Linked DNA regions of Yarrowia lipolytica. The protein of the gene in region 1 interacts with the protein of each later gene in a pairwise test. Links are inferred from orthologs where the notes say so. Each region holds a gene or a part of one and is shown in the gene's direction. Other genes may lie near its edges.

Region 1 (5,995 bases):
GCGCAAAGTTCGAGAAGGACCTCGTGCAATTGCTGCAAGCAACTGTTTCGCAAAAAATCAAATTGTACACTGCCACCATTCTCACCAAGCTGAGCTTCAAGCCAAAGGATCCCAAGCCCAAGGGAAGCGAGCCCCAGCAGGAGGAGCTACTTTCGACCCTGGAGTCGCTATCGTCCATTTTTGAGCAGTCTGTTCCCGACAAGGATCTCAGAAAACAGGCTGTGGAGGGTCTCGCGTATACCTCTCTGGACCAGAATGTGCGAATGGGCATCATTGTGAACGACGAGCTGCTCAAACAGCTCGTGGAGTGTCTCAAGTCCAACGACTCGTCGCTGGTCTACGGAGCCCTGTCTGTGTTTGCCAACTTGGCAGTCTATCCTCCTCGTCTGTCTCCTGATCAAAAGAAAGTGGCTGACTTGAAGAAGTATGCCGAGGCTGTCCAGGAGAAAGAAGAGGAGCTTGCACAGATCACCAAACAGACTGACAAACGTTGCAAGATTCTCGTAGACTTGAAAATCCCAGCTATTCTGTCAGCTCTAGTTAACAAGCTGAAACCCAATGCTCGTTCTGTAGCAGGTACTATTCTGACATCCCTGGCCGAGCAAAAGAGTCTGAGAGGCGTTCTGACGCAGCAAGGAGCGGTGGCTACGCTTCTGTACATACTTTGCGACACTGACGCGCAGCTGGAGCCCGCCTCCAAGGTATTCATCACCTCGGGGCTGGCCAAGCTACTGGTTTCTACCAATCCTAGTCTTGTTTTCGGCGCCAAAATCTCAGCCTCGGTGGCTGTCATTCCTCTGTTGGCCAACATAGACAACGACTTTTCGCCCCTCCCTCTTTTGGATTCATTCGAGTCTGCCCTAGCTCTAACCAATCTCGCCTCTTTTGACGATACCACCCGAAAGGTGATTATCAGCCACGGATGGGAGAAGATTGAAAACATGATGACTTCGCAGAACCCCATGGTGCAACGAAGTGCCGTGGAGCTGGTCTGCAACCTATCGCTTTCGCCCTACTGTGCCGAGAAGTATCTTGACGGAAGTAAGGCAGCCAACTCGCGTCTCAATCTACTGGTTGCTCTGACAGATCTATCTGATGAAGCGGGACGTCTAGCGGCTATGGGTGCTCTAGCCATGCTGTCCGAGTGGGATCCTGCTCCTCCCATTATGGTCAAGAACGAGAAGCTGATGGCCTGTCTGCAGCGCATTCTGGACAAAGATACAGAGGTGGAGATGATCTACCGAGCTGTGGCGTTAGTGGGCAATCTTTCGCAAAAGGAAGGAGGCAAATTGGGCTCTCTCAAACCTGGCCTATTGAGAGTCAAGTCTATGGTGAAGGACATGACAGCAGAGGTCGATGACATTCTTACTAGACTCAAGTAGAGGGCCAATTAGAACACTGTAGACACGGCTAAATAACGATTGATCAAAGAATGTGTCCGAGCTACTACAAGAAGGACAGTATGTAGGTACGCGGTAGCTGCAGTCACACGATGTCTCGAACTGTATTGGAAAGCAAAGTGGACGGACCTGGTGAACCCTCCTGTTTTTGAACCCTGCTAATGATTTGAAATGCCTCTTCTATGTGCTCTATCAAATGTCGCACACTTTTAGAGAGGCTGGTGGACGAGGGATGAGAAGGTCCCAATGACCAGAATGTACCAGTGTACACGTTACCACTTGGTTCTAAATACCTCACGCTATTACTAAATGGCTGGTATTTACTTTTGTTGTATCACGGACTGTACAACCCGTACTCCGGATGAGCTTCAGTTCATACGGTGCATACACGGCGTTGTGCTGTATGGTCTTTGCATGGAAGTGGTTGCTGTGGCGACAGGGCGCTCTCGTACACCTATCGTATGTACAGGCTTGTATTTACAGTCTGTAGCTAGCTACATGCTGTATAATTAGCAGCTCAGGTACCAACACTAATGCCCCTTCTTGCTATCTACAGTAGTGCTCGCCAGATCAATCTACCTGTACGTACAGCCCGGTCTCGGGGACAGTGATTTATTTAGACCCTTGCAACTTGCTTTTTCTCGGTGCGTAAATCCGTGATTTTAGTGAACTTTTTTTGCCAACAGAGCCAAATGAAAATTTAATCTGATTGCATGCCCCTGGCGAGCGTTACAGACGAGGAGGTGCCAAGCCGGCAATGTGGGAGGTGCAGTACAAGAGTCGAGACTACTAGTTGGAGGCTGAGTCGTGGCTGTGCATGAAGCGGCTAAGCGGAGCGGGAGCTCATGGCGCGTCACGTGACGGACTGCCGCCCTCCAACTATCTCTATTTTTTACAGCTCCATGTACCAGGCAAGACCACTCTAAGCTGCTTCACTTTGTCTTATTTTGCCTTCGTCTGCCTGGCGATTATTCTGCCCTTGCCTGTGGATTAAGGTGGTGTTGGGACATAGCGCAAATACACTGCACACACGTACAGGCTCAGACGCGTAAGTAGGCTGTACACACCTGTACACCTCACCCACACCCACCAAGTTCTTCTCAACCAGCTTGCTCACACGCCATGAGCACCGACGCAGAACTACAGACCATCTCGGGCCTCTCGGTGGCGTCCAAAAGCGCCCCGAGCACCCAGACCGAAGGAGTGACCGCCAGTGGCAAAGTGGAGTCGACTACCAACGCCGAAGAGGCCACCAGTGACGTGGAAGAGGAGGAAAACCCGCTGGTGGTGGCAGCCCGAGACGGCAACACCGCCGAGGTCAAGCGGCTATGTGAATCGGGCAGCTATTCGGTTCTGGACACCGCTGAGGATGGAGTGACTGCTCTCCATTGGGCGGCAGTCAACAACCGAATCAGCACGTGCCAGTATCTGGTAGAACAGGGAGCGGTGGTGGACGCCAAAGGAGGCCAGCTGAATGGCACGCCACTACACTGGGCTTGTCGCCGGGGACTGGTGTACATTGTACACTACCTGATCCAGAACGGAGCCGATCCGCTGAGATCAGACGTCCAAGGCTACAACGCTCTGCATCTCGCCACCCATTCGTCCAACGTCATGCTGCTGGTTTACCTGTTGCATCAGGGCCTTCCTGTCGATTGCCAGGACCCAAATGGGCGAACCGCTCTGCATTGGGCAGCCTACCAGGGAGACGCTCTGTCGGTAGACGTGCTGCTGAGATGGGGCTCGGACGTGAAGATCACAGACACCCAGGGCTTTCTGCCATTACATTGGGGTATTGTCAACGGCTCGCGAAACTCGCTTGCCCGTCTCATCGAAGAAGGATCCGACATGTACGCCAAAAGCAGTGACGGAAAAACTCCCCATGTCATGGCCGCTGAAATGAACACCACCGCACAGCTGGAGGGCGCTCTCGACGACTGTGGACGGTTCCCCGACGGTAGCCAAAAAACAAAATACTTCGACGCCCGAACCACTAATCTCTTGTGTTTCTTCACCCCCTTCATTCTCATTTTATTGGGCCTGGTGCTGTGCACCTTCTGTGGCCCCATTTTTGGGATCATTCTCACCGTGGCGACCCTGTTCGGATCTATTAAACTGCTAAAGACACTTGTGCTACCGTCTCTTTACAACGGACATGCTGCTCTACTGAAATCACCCTTCCAGGCAGGTATATTCACGGGCTCGGCCTTCTGGGTGACAGTCAAGTACCTAACTTCCGTCCTTCCGGCTACTTTTGCCTCCCACCCCATTCTCAACTTTTTCTTCGCCTCCATATTTGGTCTGGCCATGTACTGCTTCTTCAGATGCATGTCCATGGACCCCGGATATATCCCCAAGCTTTCTGGCATCACCGAGCAGAAGGAGGTCATCGAGACGCTCATTGAGCGGGGCGAGTTTGACACGCGACACTTTTGTTTCGTTACCTACGTGCGAAAGCCGCTGCGGTCAAAGTTCTGTAGACAGTCGAAACGAGTCGTGGCCCGGTTCGATCACTTTTGCCCCTGGGTGTGGAACGCCATTGGAGTCCGAAACCACCGCATGTTTGTGCTCTACGTGCTGTTTCTGCAGATTGGCATTCCTCTCTGGTTGGCTCTCAACAGCGCCTACTTTGGAGAGCTGCTTGAAATCAAGCGATGGGATCCCCTGGAGTTCTACCTTGTCATCTGGATCTCACTGCAACTCATCTGGATCACGTTCCTGTCCTTTGTGCAGATTTTCCAGATCTGCAGGTCACTCACCACCTCCGAAGCCGTCAACCTGCAAAAGTACGGCTACATGGGTGCTGATGACTACTCGTCGGTCCCTCTAGACCACTCTGCCGCCACAGCATCAGCCAAGTCCGTTATGAACGCCCATGGACACGCTGCAAAGTCGCCCTGCTTTTCCTCGGTGCTCAAACTGCTTGGAGTCGATCAGTTTGTGGCTACTGCAGGTGAAGCCATCAAGCATCGGGACAATCGGTCGTGGAAGGAGAAGAACCCCACCGACTCGGGCGCCGGAACTAACTGCTTCGACTTCTGGTTCCCTAATGGCAAGTTTGACCTCCTGGCAGTGTTTGAAGCTGGTAAGGGTGGAGGAGCCATTGGAGGCCATGCGGTGGACTACTACAAACTGTGGGACTTCCCCGATGTGTCTCCCAACCAGCAGCAGACCAACAACCGGTCCACTCGAGAAGATGGAGAGGCTCTTCTGGCCGAGTCTCAAGTTTGAGCATTGATAGATAGAGGAACGCTAACGTATATAATAAGCTTGTATAAAGAGAGAGTGTGTGAGAAACGTACTTGTACTTGTACATGTGCAAATATTTGAGTATACAGTATGACAGAAATTCATTTTTGAGTACTCCTTGTACTTCTCATAAGAGACACTCAAAACTACAATCAATGTTACTGAGTTTTGTTGAGTCTCTCTACTACAAGTAGTAAGTACAAGTATGTACTAGTATTTATTTTTTAAACTTTCAGACGCACAAGTTTTACACCACCTAAACAAGATCACCATACTTGTACTTGTATGCCAAATAGCCATAACTCATAATAAATTTACAGTACAAATACATATCCAACCCATCCGACCATTAGTAATTCCCCTTTTCTCCTCTTCAAATCACATACTCTCCCTGTTCCATCAACTGCAATGCTTTTTCCGTGGGGTTTCGAACCCGTCCTGACCGGCTCGTTGGAGACATTGAAAACGACATACTGAGAGGCTCCTTCTTCACTTTTGGAGACATCGATGGAGTCTTAGTTGCTGCTGGACTCGGTCTCTTCGCCTCAGGTGTCTTCTCGGGAGGGATTTCTTCTTCCCGAGAAGACTTTCGGGGTCTACCTCTTCCTCTAGGAGTCGGCGTGGACCCAGCAGGACTAGGAGTAGATGCATCAACACCGTCCGCAACTCTGGTTTCAGCCACCTCAGCCTCCTCCGCCTCCTTCTGTCTCCTCTCCATTGCCAGCTTTTGCTTCCAATGTAGCTTCTTCACCTTCGGGGTGCCTGTTGACGGAGTTTCTACTGTCGGAGTATTTACTTCCACTTTCTCATGTCCCACGGTTCCCCTTCGAGCTCTCTTCCAAGCTCGTTCCTCTCGTGAAAGCTGAGCCACATTGTCCCGCATCTCAACAGGCTCAGGAGCCGACTTTCTCGACCGCTTGGGTTTCTCCGGCAGCATAGAAACCCGTCCAGACCGTGTCTGTCGACCGGCCTGACTCCACTTCTTCAGCTCCTTCGGACTCATGTCCTCAATGCGCATACTGGTGATTTCCTGGGCAGGCTCCTCTTTGGTGTACTCCCACGACCAGGCCAGCGACTTGCGCTTCTTCTGCACCAACAAACCGTCCTCCTCGAAAATCTTACGATTTTTGGCACCAAACTGCTGAGCCACCTGTGGCTTGGAGAGACCCCAGTCCTCGTCCTCAAGCTTCTTTGGAGGCCGCATCATTAGCAGACACAGGGGAAGGGCATGCTTATGGTTAGTATACGGCCAGGCAAAGCTGTGGATAGCAGCATGTCTGTGGCACCGAGGACAAAAGTGGCCAAGTGTCTTGGGCCCGTCAGTGAGATTGTAGACTGAACAACAA
Region 2 (5,116 bases), about 2.4 Mb from region 1:
GACACCATGCATGGACATGCACGACACCATCACCAAGCCGACTACCACCACACCTCCTACCATGACGCCCTGGATCTGACCTCTCCCACAGACGGACTGGCCTCCCTGCCGTTAGTAGAGTACGCCGAGGAGCCTGAGCCGGTCCAAACCATCAACCACAACCTCGCACCCGAAGCAAGCCTATATGCAGACATCTTCCCTGACGGAACGCTGTCGATATCCCGAGCAATATCCGACGAATACGAAACAAAACTGTGCTTTCGCCGCCAGATTGTCTTCACCCACAACTTCCCCATCTATCCACAAACCTATGGCGACTATGCATCAAATGTGTACACCCCTCCGGTAGACGGTGTTCAAGAACTCAATTACGCCCGCAAAACGTGGTTTTGGAGAGTAGTTAGAAATATACTGGAGGATGACCGTGTAATTCGCCGCTTCCACGTGTCCAAGGCCATGTACGACGGATATCTCACGGCTCTGCTTCGCTTACGCTCCACTAAACTGGCTCCAGGCATGTCTCCCGAAATGGAATGGCATCGGTTGGGTCACTCGGGCAGCAGTAGTGCTGGCTCTACTTCTGACTCCAGTACCGGCTCCATTGGCTTGTGTGAGGAATACGAGCTGTTGCGACAAAAGTGCATTGCTCCAGGTCGCCGGAATAACATCAAAACACAATCTATTCGCATACACATGCCGTGTTCCGAGTCCGCCCGTGTATTTGTGTACGGCCACGACACCTTTATTTGCATTTCCAACTCGCTTGAGGACCCTGTGTTGAAGCGGAATGACTTCTTCTGGGTTGACTGGGCCAACAGTAAGACGTTCCGTCTCTGTTCAACGATATCCCCCCATGGCCCCACGCATCCGCAACATCAGCATCATCCCTTCATAGTAGATAACCGCTTCTTTTTGCTGTATCGAAACCAGCTGGTTGAATGGGCCATGAATGCATCTTCTCAATTTGTGCCGATTGGTAAGACCAGGCTAGACCTGTCGTACAGACGCGACTTTTCGCTGATGCCCCTGCTCGATACCCGCACCCCTGTCATCACTGGTCAGATGTTTGTCGACACCAACAACAGGAGTTACTCCAAGGTGACGCTGGGAGACTCGTCCAACTCATTCCACGTGCTCGGAGTGCTCAATGGGCAGAAGCGCGACTGGACGTACCAGTATCTGCGGGAGCTGACGGAGAAGCTAGCCATGTACCGAATGCCTCTCAACACGTGGTGTCATTTGGACAAGATCTTGCCGCATGTGGTGCTCAGTGGTGGTGTCCAAGGTGAAGAGCAGGAGCGGATTCGAGGAGCAGTCTCGCCCACGCACTCTATATAAGCCATCATTTTTATTTAAACATAGACCCTTGATTTTTCACCTAACAAAGAAGCGACGATCAACCGAGTTTGATAGGCGCGGGGAGATGGAATACGGCAGGAACACAGCGATAGGGTTGTTTTTCGTTTCCTTTGGGCTACTCCTGAGTACAGTACAGTACATAGTACAAGGCCAATGTTGTACCTTGGAGGGTGAAGAATGTCGGGCCCTGTACACACTGTGGGACTACTTCTACATCTCTATACCATAACTTGCCTTGACTCACTGACGATCGTATAAAATATTTTTGTCTCATTACATGAGAGAATCTTGTTGGTGTAGATTAAGGTGTGCAAGGCCAAGCATGAAGACTTCCAGGGTCTATTAATTGGTTGCATTTGCCCGCTATTTTTGGCTGTCAAAAAATATTGGTTTCACCTCGACAGAACGCATAACAAGACCTTGCTCTGTGTCAATCTTGAATAGGCTTGGCCTGTGAGTTGCTACGGCCCTTCGATGGCTCCATTAAGCTGTTACAACGGCCGAGAGAAGCGCCAATGGTACAAGTAGTGACTTTGAGCTTGCCGGCTGCAGTATGGTTTTCCTTTTTCCAATGTGCAAATTGCCAGTGTTACATCAACGGATAAAGTTGGCGGTGGTGTTGCTGGAAAAGTTGAAAAGAACACAATAGCAGGTCTGATCGGGTAATGGGCACTTGACGGTCCGAATCGTAGCAGCTCAGAGTGCCATTTGTGCAGGAAATTGTGTAAATCTACTCCACCTAATCGCTTCCTCCACCCCTTGGAGAATTGTAACCATGAAGAGACTCCAGTGGGATCTACAGGTGTGTGTGAGAAGCTGCACTTGATAATAGGCCGAGGTCGGTTCTCTACAGCAAGCACAAACCTCCGCATTCTAATAAAATAACGTCATTTTCACCATCTTCATACGCCCCTGACCGTCACTTCAACAAGCTCTTTTAGATTGGTGGTGACAAGCACATGTATACATGTATACATACTCGTCGTCTACCCGGTACCTTATACTAGCGAGTCTACAGAGCGAAGATCATAAAGGTAGATTACACAGCTGAGTCTCCTCCTTCGTTGCTGTTGGGGCCGTTTGATAAAAAGTGGTCCCATTGCACCTCCCATCTTCGAACCCTGCATAATTTCTTCATATTCGGCAATTGACCATATCTGGTCTATAGGAACAAGTCAAGTGGTGGAGCATCTGTGGGGCTCAACGAGATAATTACACACGATAACACACACACAATATTTTCATGCCAACTAAACTATACTTTTATCCTCCTGATCAGCACAGTAATGATAATATTTGCCAAACGTTTTATTATTTGAAGACCCACTTATGTAAATTTTTTGGGTGTTCCGTTTGTGGCCCTTCCTTGTGTCGCCTTGCTATATGTATATTGTATATTACTCCGCATCTACTCCGCATCTACTCCGCAGAGCTCATGCAGTAAGCATGCACGCAGCTATAACGGGGAATCAATGTGGCAGACACGAATTGGTATTTGCATGGTGGAGTCCCCCACACTAGAAATTGCAACCAACTTGAACTCATCCACGCGCGAAAATGACAGATATTCTCCGGCCAGATACTCCCCCCTCCCCCACCGTTGAAGATCTCCATGAGCGGCTGTCGTTACTCAAAGGCAAATGTGCCGCCATGAGAGAGAACATTGTTCATCAGAGAAGCCAATTTATGAATGCCACCCTTCCAAGTCTTGCCACAGACCTCCGGCCCATCAGTTCAACCCCCCTGAAGGTGCGACACAAACTCAAGGGACACAGAGGCAAGATAAACAGCTGCGACTGGGCCTCCAACTCACAATATGTGCTCAGTGTAGCTATGGACGGTCTGGCTCTCATGTGGGACGCCTACTCGTCTCTAAAGTCCAGAGTCTTCCTTCTTCCAAGCTGCTACGTGCTCTCCTGTGCATTACCTCCCTCGTGTGGCTACCTGGCATCGGGTGGTCTAGATAACAGGGTCTCAATCCACTCCATGACTCAGTCGGCTGATGAGACAGACCCTTCTGTTCCCTACGGTTCAGGGTCGTCGACCAGAATGAAGGGACTTACCAAAAGCGAGCCCATGGCCATTCTCAAGGGACACTCTGCATATGTGGCGGACTTGTGTTTCCTGACTGACCAACAGATCATCTCAGCCTCCGGAGACATGACATGCTGCATCTGGGATGTCAATACAGGCCGACGTGTTTCGACCCTGTATGACCATCTAGGAGACGTCTCTTCTGTGACCAAACACCCCTCTAAGATGCAGATTGTCGCCACGGCTTCCAACGATAAAACAGTCAAGATCTGGGATCTCCGAATCGCCAGATGTGTCCAGACCTTTCAGGGGCACAATAAGGATGTAACTTCAGTGGACTTCTTTCCCGATGGAAATGCAGTTCTCTCTGGAGGTGACGATTCAACTGCAAGACTGTTTGACATGAGAACTGATTGCCAAATGAACATTTATAGTGCCCCAGACATAATGTCTCCTGTCAACTCGGTGGCTGTAACACCCTCAGGACGGATCATGTTCTGTGGCCATGACACAGGTGAAGTGGTAGCTTGGGACACCATCAAATGCACCTACCTCGGCCCAATCACGAAGCATCTTGGTCCTGTTACCAAAGTAAAGGTCTCCCCAGACGGAGTGGGTGTCCTATCTTCTTCTTGGGACGAAACTATGACAGTTCTGTCTCTGTAAGTGGAGGTCTACGTGTATGCAGTAATAACATCACATCAACCCGATATGAGAAATAATATGAAGCGGCTACAGAAGGTGCATGTCTATGTGTGTGCTGCGCTTGATAGTCGGTGGTATAATTTTGGTTTAATTGTCTACAAGTACAAGTACAAGTACCATACCATTGTTGACCAACACTGGAACACACTCTCTTTAGGTAGCTACTTGTACCCGGTTTAGATGTCATAACGACGCATCGAATTTGACCTAACCCCCAAATTATCATAAAAAAGGCCCTCCTACCAGATAAAGAATTGCCGGTTTAGCACTCCTGTCTACTCATTTCCACCCTTAATTGCATTTTAAATGACATAATGGCACTTCAAAAATCTGAGTTTTAAGGGGTCACGTGACACTGATTTTAGCTTGGGAGATTCTAAAAAAAGTTCAATTAAAAAAAACCCAGCGATGTGGCGCAGCGGAAGCGCGCAGGGCTCATAACCCTGATGTCCCTGGATCGAAACCAGGCATCGCTAATTTTTTGTCAATTTTTTTTGCTGTGATGGGTCATGATAAAGTTCTTAATCTGGGGCAGACGTGCAGAACAACAACTTTCATTAACGCATCCACCAACACCTTTTTGCACCAAATCATGGCACTACTGGTGAGTATGGGGAGAGGATAAGGCTTCCTAAGGGTTGCAACGAACACAACAAGCACTAACCAGCTCTGTTTTGCACATTTCTGCGACTTGCATGGCCCGACTTCGATACTGTGTTGTCAGAAAACGAAGGAGACCACACCAAACGAGTGTTCGACGTGCGCAAATTGCCAGCTGATCCTGCCAAATGATGCCACAACTCTACGATCTAATATTGGCGAGCACACATACGTGTCTTCTCAATGTGCCGTCGGGGAGGATGACTACTCCAAGGTTCGAAAGGCCTGTCTCAAGCTGCTGAGTAGTGAAACCACCTTCTCGGATACTCCTCTCATGTTTGGCGACTCATCTGGAGCCACCATTGGTTACGTGTTCAAGGTGAACGACAACGAGTCTCGTGGTGGGATTCGAAAGTAC

Evidence for each region. The genes of interacting proteins can lie anywhere in the genome.
Region 2: the proteins of YALI1_E25761g (region 1) and YALI1_E01904g interact in binary tests that used the Saccharomyces cerevisiae proteins (3 or more experiments, as listed by UniProt). The link is inferred for Yarrowia lipolytica from reciprocal best matches to the Saccharomyces cerevisiae genes AKR1 and STE4.

What each region holds. Positions count from the first base shown.
Region 1 is NC_090774.1:2,573,635-2,579,629, forward strand, and holds YALI1_E25761g (uncharacterized protein), read left to right. Parts: upstream 1-2,522; coding exon 2,523-4,631; downstream 4,632-5,995. Other genes in the region: YALI1_E25729g (uncharacterized protein), read left to right, coding at 1-1,382; YALI1_E25812g (uncharacterized protein), read right to left, coding at 5,023-5,995. UniProt on the Saccharomyces cerevisiae protein: Palmitoyltransferase specific for casein kinase 1. Palmitoylates isoforms YCK1 and YCK2 at both C-terminal cysteine residues, which is required for their proper plasma membrane localization.
Region 2 is NC_090774.1:188,206-193,321, reverse strand, and holds YALI1_E01904g (uncharacterized protein), read left to right. Parts: upstream 1-2,916; coding exon 2,917-4,059; downstream 4,060-5,116. Other genes in the region: YALI1_E01935g (uncharacterized protein), read left to right, coding at 1-1,338; YALI1_E01885g (uncharacterized protein), read left to right, coding at 4,601-4,702, 4,766-5,116. UniProt on the Saccharomyces cerevisiae protein: Implicated in the a- and alpha-factor response pathway. The beta and gamma chains of the putative yeast mating response pathway G protein play a positive role in initiation of the mating response.